Canis lupus familiaris: one gene and its partner. The protein of the gene in region 2 purifies or fractionates together with the protein of the main gene of each other region. This does not show direct contact. Links are inferred from orthologs where the notes say so. Each region holds a gene or a part of one and is shown on either strand. Other genes may lie near its edges. The genes, in order: MAPK14 and PTPN7.

What was found.
Region 1: the proteins of PTPN7 (region 2) and MAPK14 purify together in Homo sapiens (affinity purification with mass spectrometry; 3 studies listed by BioGRID and IntAct, with this or other methods). This does not show direct contact. The link is inferred for Canis lupus familiaris from reciprocal best matches to the Homo sapiens genes PTPN7 and MAPK14.

What each region holds. Positions count from the first base shown.
Region 1 is NC_049233.1:5,326,142-5,330,563, forward strand, and holds the start of MAPK14 (mitogen-activated protein kinase 14), read left to right. Parts: upstream 1-1,613; coding exon 1,614-1,729; intron 1,730-4,422. Other genes in the region: SLC26A8 (testis anion transporter 1), read right to left, coding at 743-797. UniProt on the Homo sapiens protein: Serine/threonine kinase which acts as an essential component of the MAP kinase signal transduction pathway.
Region 2 is NC_049228.1:986,509-990,890, reverse strand, and holds the start of PTPN7 (tyrosine-protein phosphatase non-receptor type 7), read right to left. Parts: upstream 3,056-4,382; 5' UTR 2,901-3,055; intron 2,377-2,900; exon of another isoform or gene 2,235-2,376; intron 1,846-2,234; 5' UTR 1,796-1,845; coding exon 1,674-1,795; intron 1,311-1,673; exon of another isoform or gene 1,226-1,310; coding exon 1,042-1,225; intron 778-1,041; coding exon 693-777; intron 1-692. UniProt on the Homo sapiens protein: Protein phosphatase that acts preferentially on tyrosine-phosphorylated MAPK1. Plays a role in the regulation of T and B-lymphocyte development and signal transduction.

The DNA of each region.
Region 1 (4,422 bases), on a different chromosome or scaffold from region 2:
TCTCTCCTAAGTTGAGATCATGGTCATTATTCATAATTTGTTCAATAAATATTTATGGGGTACCTATTATATTCTAGGCACTGTGCTAGGTGCTGGGACAAGATATGCAAAATCTGAGCATTCTAAAGGATGCACGACACGAAAGAGAATAATCACGGGAAGGGTTGAGAGGTGTCCTGGCTTGGACCCAGTTACTTCTAAGAGACATTGTAACAAACTTTAACAAAGGAATAAGTTGGTTACAGTGGCTGTAGGCATGGTTATATAGTATCTTGCTCACTCACACTTACTATCTTGTTCAGCTTTACAGGTAACCCTATTAGGCGCGGATGTAAGGCAGGAATTACTTTTGCAGAAGCTGGAACTAGAGTCTAAGAGAGGTCAATAGACTTGCCTAATAGGACACCCTCTGCCTTGCTCTCCTTAACCTGAGGCAAGAATCAAGCTTCAGAGCAGGATTCAGTTTCAAACCCTCAGAAGTACTCTTTTCAAAAATCCTTCTCCAAGGGGGATGCGGGAGACTTTCCTGAATCAGAACTGCCTGGAGCATATTATAAAAATGCGCGTTCTTGGCGCCTATCACCGACCTATCCACTTAGACTCCCTGTGGGTCCTGGGACTTGGCTTTTTTTTTTTTTTTTTTTTTTTAACACTCCAAGTGTTCTTTTGCACATAAACGTTTAAAGACCGTTAGGAGAGTTTGGGTGGAAAACCTCAGACTTAACGTAGAGCTAATACTTGCTTTCGGGATAGGGTCCGTCACAGTTCCGAAGATTAAGCCGTATGTCCCCGAACATGGAATAACGGCTTTCTGGCTGGAACCTTCCTTTTCCAAATGTAAGTATTTCTTGGAAGTTGGAGGTTCTGCTGAGCAGATGCTCGGCTGCTGGTGACTACCGGCAGTTCAAAGATCTTTTGGCTCTTTTCCCGACACCCTATTAGTCGCCGTCGCCTCCCGCCACGGAGCCGGGCGTTTGCCCCGCCGACCACGGTGGGGCGCACGCGGCATACGTTGCCTGCCTGTCCCTCCCTTTCCCGGGTCCGCCTTCGCGCCCTTAAGAGCAGTCCCCGAGAGTTCCTGCCTCTGGTCTCCAGCTGTTGCCCTTTTCTCGCGAGAAGTGCTCCTCCCATCCTCTCCGGTAGTCCACCCCCTCCCGTGGGCAGGTTCCATATTGGGTAAAATCTCGGCTCGCGGAGAGTCCCGGGAGCTGGTCTCGCGAGAGTACGGCTAGCGACTCCTGTTCGCTGGCTCTGGAACGGCGATCACTGGAACTTGAGCGGGCGCTGCAGCTGGAGCCGCAGTTCCGCGGCGCAGCCCGGGGTCGGCCTGGTCGGGGAGAGGGTGCAGGGAGAGCGTGGTGGGCGCAGCCCTGAGCCCCGCAGCCTGCCCCTGCCCTTCACCGGGCTCGCCCGGCAGCTGCGGCTGACAGGGGCCGCGCGCGCGGGAGTCGGCGGGGTCGCGTCTGCCGCACCTGCGCCGACTGCCAGCTCCGGGTCCCCGCCCGGCCCGGCGGGCAACGAGGGCCCGGGAGCGGGAGCGGGAGCGGGTGCGGGTGCGGGCGCAGGCGGGGCCCCTCAGGGCCACCTCCTAGCCCCGCGGCCGCCGCTGGAAGATGTCTCAGGAGAGGCCCACGTTCTACCGGCAGGAGCTGAATAAGACAATCTGGGAGGTGCCCGAGCGTTACCAGAACCTGTCCCCGGTGGGCTCCGGCGCCTACGGCTCCGTGTGGTGAGTGTCACCGGGCTTGGGTCTGCGGCGGGCTTGGTGGCCTCAGCACCCCAGAACCAGGCCTGCCCACACAGCTCAGCGATGCACCAAGCGGTAGGAATTTTCTCTGGGGGAGGGCATCGTTGCCCATTCGACCCCTGTGCTGCACGCCCGGGACCCCCTTGCACCCCTCACTCTGCACCCCCAGGGAGGCGGTCGGCTGTGTGCAGGATGCAGGTCCACGGTGGGCGGTGGTGCTGGAGCTCGGCCCTGCCTCGCACCCTGCGCAATCCCTTCTGGGGGGGTGGCTGCTCGGGGGAGGGGGGCTGGCACAGAGGCCGGGGCGTCTCTCCGGGGGTGGGGGGTGTCTCCCTGCCAGCCTCGAGCCGAAGGAGCCTCTCCGGAGGTGCAGCCACTCTGGGCGCGCGGGAGCCTGCCCTCCAAGCAGACAAGCCCGGGGGGGCTGCAGGGAGAAGCAGAAGGGCCAAGCTCTACGGGAGACTGCGAGCGTCGGAACAAAACTGACGACCAAGGGCTTTCTGCCCTGGCTTTTTTTTTTTTTTTTTTTTGCAGACCTCTTTCGAAATCTCATTTCGAGAGGCATTCTTTTCGAATTCGCACTTGCATTAGCAGCGACCCAAAGAACCGAAAATACCGACTTTATCTCGGCCAGCCTAGTGCCAGCTTGAGTTGTGTGTTTCCGATTCTGTTGAAAGCGTATTTCCTTTTCGCTGAGTGGGGGTGGGTGGTAGTGCCTGCAAGAACACTGCAGCTTGAGAAACTGGCGGCTTCACTGATTAGTCACATACCACTGCTCATTTAAGTATTGTTTGGCAAAAACAGTTTTTTCACTTGGAGCAAGTGAGATTCAGATCCGTTGGACGCGCTCAAGATCAAAGAATCATGAGCAATCTGGGGAGGTATTGTAAGTATTTCTTAATTGCAGTACATCTTGTGAATATTGTGTTTTTAAACTTCTTTAGAGAGTTCGCAGGGAACTGATCTACATTTGTAGCCTGAGGTACACGATGGTTTTCATAAGGATAGGGAATATATAGCAAAGGAAGGGAGAGACACTTCTCAGCTTTAATTCACACTGTGTTTTAAATTAAATCGATCCAATAAAATTCTTGGATCTAAAATATTTCACTAGTTTAGGTATTACACACCATATTTTAGAGTTACTGTAACTTGAGAGCTGCTGATCTGAAACTAATTCCTGTATTCATGTGAATCATTTGAAAAGGGCTCCATAAGATTTTGGGAGGGTGGGGGTGGGGGTGAGGGAAACGAATTCCAGACTTTTGGATGTGTTAATCTTTATAATTCTTGTGTTTCTTAAAGTCACATCATGAATTTCCTGTTTGCTAGAATCTTCTGGGTAATTGAGATTGTGCAATTGTGTCAAGCAACAGATCATATTGCATTTTCTAGTTCAAGCTGCGTGAGTTCATCTTGCTGATGGTCCCGTGCTTGACATCTTTTCCTCATTTTTATAATATGGCAGTTTACGTTTTAAGGGAATTTGCAACATTTTACTGTATCCATCTATATGTGTGATTGATTTGCAAATTTTCAGAGATATATTTGGATCATGGCTCCTTTAATAGCTTATTATTTTACCACTCTTTTTCATTCTGTTATGTCATAATTGACATTAATTTTCGTAGTACCAAGTTTCTGTTTCCAATGATGTTTAAACTTTAATGAAATGATACAGCAGAATAGCTCAACTATGGGGAGTTTAGTGGACCTGAAAACAACTGCTTGCAAGGTCTTCCTACTGTTGGTATGAATAGCTCTGTCCTGGAACTGCAGATTCAGATTTAGAGTGAAGTATCATAAAAATGACCTTTACATTTCCTTAGTACTATACTTTTTTGGCTTACAGAAGCCAGAAATATCTGACACTTGGAAGTGATTTTGTTAAACATATTTTAAAAAATATGTATAGAATTATATACACATTGTATAAAATTCAAAAGGCGTAAAAGGATATTTAACGAAAGGTATCCTTTCCTTTCTTGTTCTCCAACTGTGCTATTCCTTTCCTCTGAGACAGCCCCTGTTAAGTTTCTTATGTGTCTTTACAAGGAGGCAGAGCCCATTCATTTGTTTTTAGTAGTATTTCTGTTGAGGGATTTAAAGTGTGACATATGGTATATTGGTGGAAGAGAATGCATCTTATGTGTGTCAGTTGACTATGGCAAATATAATTGATTTTGGATTGAAAATATCAGAATTTAGATATACATAAGTAAGTGGCATCTCATTCAGAATTATTTGAAGTTATTCTTTCAGTTCTTTCAGATTCTTAGCAGTGTTTTGGGTGTTGCAGCAAACTTTTTTTTTTTTTTTTTTTTTAATTTCTCTTACAGCATTCTGGAGCCTGTGTTATTTTTCACTGCCATCATCCTTTAAGAACAGATTTGATTTTAGGGAATAAGAAAATCAAGCTGAATTCAAATAATTTAGAGAATTTGTACTCAAGTCTGGCGAGAAAGATTAGGCATTCAGGTTGGTCTTGTTTTAGGTCAAATAGGAGTTATAACTATAAAGTAATGACAGAATTTCTTGTGTGACTTGTAGAACTGGATCTGAAGTCTGTTCCGAAAAAGAATCTCTGAAAGCATTTTAAGGAATGCAACCTCACGCAAATATCTGTCAGTTTCCTAATTTGATTGCTCCTAAGTGTGATATACTTTGATGTATAT
Region 2 (4,382 bases):
AGCCCGGAGGGTGGGCAGGGGCGGAGCAGGACTGTGCCAACGGGGACGGAGAAAGAGACGTCGAGGAGAAAGCGTCTTCTCTGACGGTGAACACGGGATGTGGACGAGTGACTTGCTAAACTCGCACGGTGGTGACGAGGCGCCAGGACTCGGGCTGCACTGGGCCTGCCCAGCTCTGCCTCGAGCGGGAGGGCTGTCCCCACGCGAGTCCCAGCAGGGACGGAGGCCGGGCTCGTGAGCAGGGGAGACAAACTCCCCCAGGGCTGGCCTGGTTCTGGACGGGGCCCTGCAAGCGGGGGGACCTCCCCTCCGTCTTTGACTTGGGCCGGGACGAGGGCCACTCCCTCCCGCTCCCTGGGCTGAGTGCTGACCCACCAGGCGGGCAGGGGCAGGGGCGGGGGTGGGGGCGGGGATGGGGGCGGGGGCGGGGGTGGGCGGTGAGACGGCCTCAGGGCTGGGAGTTGCTGGAGGTGGGTGGGCAGCGGCAGGAGTCAGTCTCCCAGGGTCTGGAGCTTGCTTCTGTGCGGGGCCCTGGGCCTTTAGGGCCTGCGGGGTCAGCCCCTCAGAGCCCCGGACTCCCATCCCCAAACCTGCCACTGCTCTCGTAGACGCGCCCTCGCTGGGGCCGCGCCTGTCGCCCTCACACCGTCCAGCCCAGGGACGGCTGCACTCCCCTGACACGCGGTTCTTACTCGGCAGGATGGTCTTGTAGCGGTCCTTGGAGGCGTGGCCAGGGATGTCCAGGTCTTCAGAGTTGACGAAGTTCGAGGGGATCTTCTGGCAGAGGGAAGAGATGAGTGAATATCGACCCCCGTGCCCGCCTGCCCCCGCCGCCCCGTCCTTGTGTCCACAGGGGCTGATCCCGGCAATTCCCTCCTGGCCTCCGTGGGTCTGCAGGGGTGCAGCGCAGAGGGGCCCACGGGGTGGTTTTCTCCCTCGTGGGTTCTCTTTCCGGAGGCCCGAAGACAAGACAGTACGGTGCCCGCTGGCTGGCTGTGCTTCGGAGGCACACAGCACCGCGGGGGGACCCCAAGTTCTTACCAGGAATTCCTCCTCCAGCTGTTTGGGACTGGGCGGCTGGTGCTGCAGGGCCCAGCGGGTGAGGGGGTGTCCAGCTGTGCGCAGAAAGTGCAGGGTGACCTCCCGGGGCGTGTTCACTGAGCAAATGGGCTCCACGGCCCCCAGGGACCGCACATCCAGCATCAAAGCGACGTTGGAGCCCCTCCTGTGGGCACGACAACACCACTGGCTGCTGCTTTTTGCTGTTGCTGGTTCAGGGCACGTCTGAGGAGGCTGCTCCTGGTCTTCCCCTGGGCGGAGGCCCGGTGGGTTCGAGGGCTCTGGCCCCGCTGCGTTCCCTCCTTTTGTCACCTCGACGCTCCAGCTGCCTGCCTGCGCCCCTCCTGCCACACCCAGAGCGTGGACGAGCCCAGACCCAACACAGCCCTGCTCCAGGGACTACAGCCCCGCCTCGGGTTGGGGAGCAGCCCAAGGAGGCGGGAAACTTTATCCCGACCTGTCAGTGCATGCAAATGACATGCAAATGAGCACATCTGGGTTCCTTTCCAGGTTGGAGCCCTCAGCCCTCGGCCTCGGAGCTGTAGGGGCAGGCAGAGAGCACCGCGCAGGGTCTCAGGGCTGGGACACCCCCCGCCCCCCAGGAAAGGCCTCACCTCTCCTGCAGCCGCACGTGCTTCTTGGCCGGAGCTTTGCTGGGTGGCGGCTGGGTCATGGCTCCCCCCAAAGACCAGGTGGACGGCCGTGCTCTCGAGCACCCCCCCCAGTCCTGGACCATGCTGGGCTGGGTGCTGGCCTGGGGGAGGCTCACGCAGCCATGAGGTTCACCTGAAAGACAGGGCCCTCGGCAGCTGACCCCGGCCTCTCTGCCCACCTGAGAGGCACCCAAGCCCAGGCCCGCCGCCTGCTTTCTGGCACCTCCGCTCTCAGGTGTCGTCCCTTCTCCGAGCAGAGCTGTCGTTTTCACGGCAAGAAGGCCGGGGTCCCTACGAGGGGGGACCCAGGGCGGTGGGGTGGCCGGGGTTGGAGGAGGGACCCAATGAGGTATGGAGCTTGTGCGGGGAGGCAAGGTCAGGAAGGGCTCCAGACGGAGGGGGATGGGGGGCAGAGGCTGCCCGAGGCTGGAGCACAGGGGGCCCGCGCGGGGCCCAGGTAAGGAAGGAGAGGGAGGAAACAGGAGCCGCGCGTTCTGCGTGGAAGGGAGAGAGAAAGCTCACGGAAGCCACCTCCAGGCCGGGCCCGCTCCGAGATGAGAGGTTTGAGGCCTCTCGCGGCGGCAGCAGCAGAGCCAGCTGGGGACCCTTGGGGACCCTGTCCTCGCTGCGGGCGGGCCCAAGGTCATTCTGGCTTCTGAGGTCTCTGTCCAGGGAGGTAGGCTGGGGGTGTTTCCTTCTTCCCCGCCCATCCCCCCACCTCCCGCCTCTGTAACCGTCACAGGAAATGGCCTCACAAGCCCTTGAGCGGCAGCGCATGGTGAGGCGACAGCTGGGGGGACGGGGGGCACGGAGGTGGTGGGCCTGAGTCCTCCTGGGGGGGACCGTCCCCACCTCCCAGAGCCAGGCCGTGGCGTCCGAGGGGTGGGGGCGGCGGCGGAGCCGCTAAGCCCCGAGGTGAGGGGACACCCCGGCCGTGCAGATGTGCGGGGAGCGAGAAGCTCGTACGAAGCAGGAAGGGATGGCTGGCCTCTGGTCCCCCTGCAGCGCCCTGGGGCTCCCTCCCCGCGCCCCTCGGGGCCGTCTGATGGGGCAGCACCCATTCCCCGGCCACACAGCGTGGCACCCCACGCAGCCTCGCTCCCACCTGCCCGGAGTGCCCCCCCACCTCCCCGGGGTCCCCACCACCCCAGGACCACGGGGCCCCTCCTCCACCGGTCAGGGACTCACTGAGGCAGCCGTGGCCTCCAGGCCGCCTCTTGCCAGCTGTCTGTCTGTCTGTTGGTCGGTCTTTGAGGGCTGAGGAAGCTTCAGGAAGCCAGCTTCCTCCCTCGCCCCTCCTCGCTGCCACCCACGCACACCCCAGCCGCCTGCTGCCCTCCTGCGCCTGCTGCCACCACCAGGGGTCGGGTGCCTCTCGCCTGTGCCCCGGGGTGGGCTGCCCGGGTCCCTCGGGCGGGGGTGCGGGGACGGAGGGGGCCGGACCGCTCCCCGCCACCCTGGCTCCCCTCGCCCCCCGCCCGCGTGCTCCCTGGACTGTTTGGCCTCTGGGCTCTGGTCACGTGCAGCGTCAGCCCGCTGCCCCCAGCTCGCTGCTGGTTCTGGTCCCGCCGGCCCTGCCCGGACACTGCTTCCCACTGCCCTGCTTCTGCCTCGGCGCCCTGTGGTCCGGGGAGCCCTTGCCCCCTTCAAGCTCTGGAGTCAGGGGCAGGGGCTGGGGCACCTGCAGAGGTGGCTGTAGGTGGTGGGGCAGGCTGGGAGGGAAGCAGGGGCAGAAAGGCCCAGGCCAGGCCAGAAGGGCCGTCCCTGGGACTCGAGCCGCAGCCAAGCTGCCAGCTACCTGTGGTGGCGATGGACCAGCAGGCCCGGGAGTGGGTGGTAGACACGGTTCATAGGAGAATCTGGGGGGCTCTCCCCCTGCCTCCCCCCCAGCCCCTCCAGTTCTCCCCAGCATCCTGACATCAGTTCAGCAGACTTACAGATAGTGGACAGTCTCTGGCCCTCACGGGGCGCGGCGGGTGGGGTGGGCGGGGGGTGGGGGACTCCCATGCCTTCTTCGCGTCTGGGGTCCCAGGAAGTGGCCCCTGCGCCCAGGACTCCAGCGCCCCCTGCCCCCGCCTCGCCTCGGGAGGCCCCTTGCTGGCCAGCTGCCCAGCGGGTCATGCTCGCTGCACGGCTCCTTCCACCTCGTAACACCGCGAACACCCTCCCCGTCCCGGCCCCAACACGCGCCATCCCCGTCCTCTTGCGTCCTCCCATTTCTCTGATTCAGCTGTCAATGGTGACAGCAAAAAAAGAAACCATTTTCAACAGGGGGTGGGCACACAGGAGGGGCGGTGGGGAGGGGGCTGGCCATTGGGGGGGTGCTTGGGGCCAAGCCCGGGATGACTCTGCGCAGCTTGCGAGGCCTTCCAGCACCTGTCCGTGCTCCCGGGGGTGCGGATCGGGAGCCGGCCCCTTCCCGGCCCCTCCAGGGCTGGCTGGTCCCGGAGGCTTCTTCACTCTGGGGAGTGGGTGGCTTCCCTGAAAGGAGGAGCTGGAGCAGTAGCTGGCTCTGGTCCCCAGAACAGGGCGGAGGTGGGGGCAGGAGAGCCTGGGAATCCCTGGTCGACCTTCGGGAAGGGACCCGAGGTGGCTTCTGCCTCCACCGCTCCCCCAAACCCACCAGTGGGGCCCTGGGATTCAAAGAAGGGGGCAGGAGGGAATCAGAAA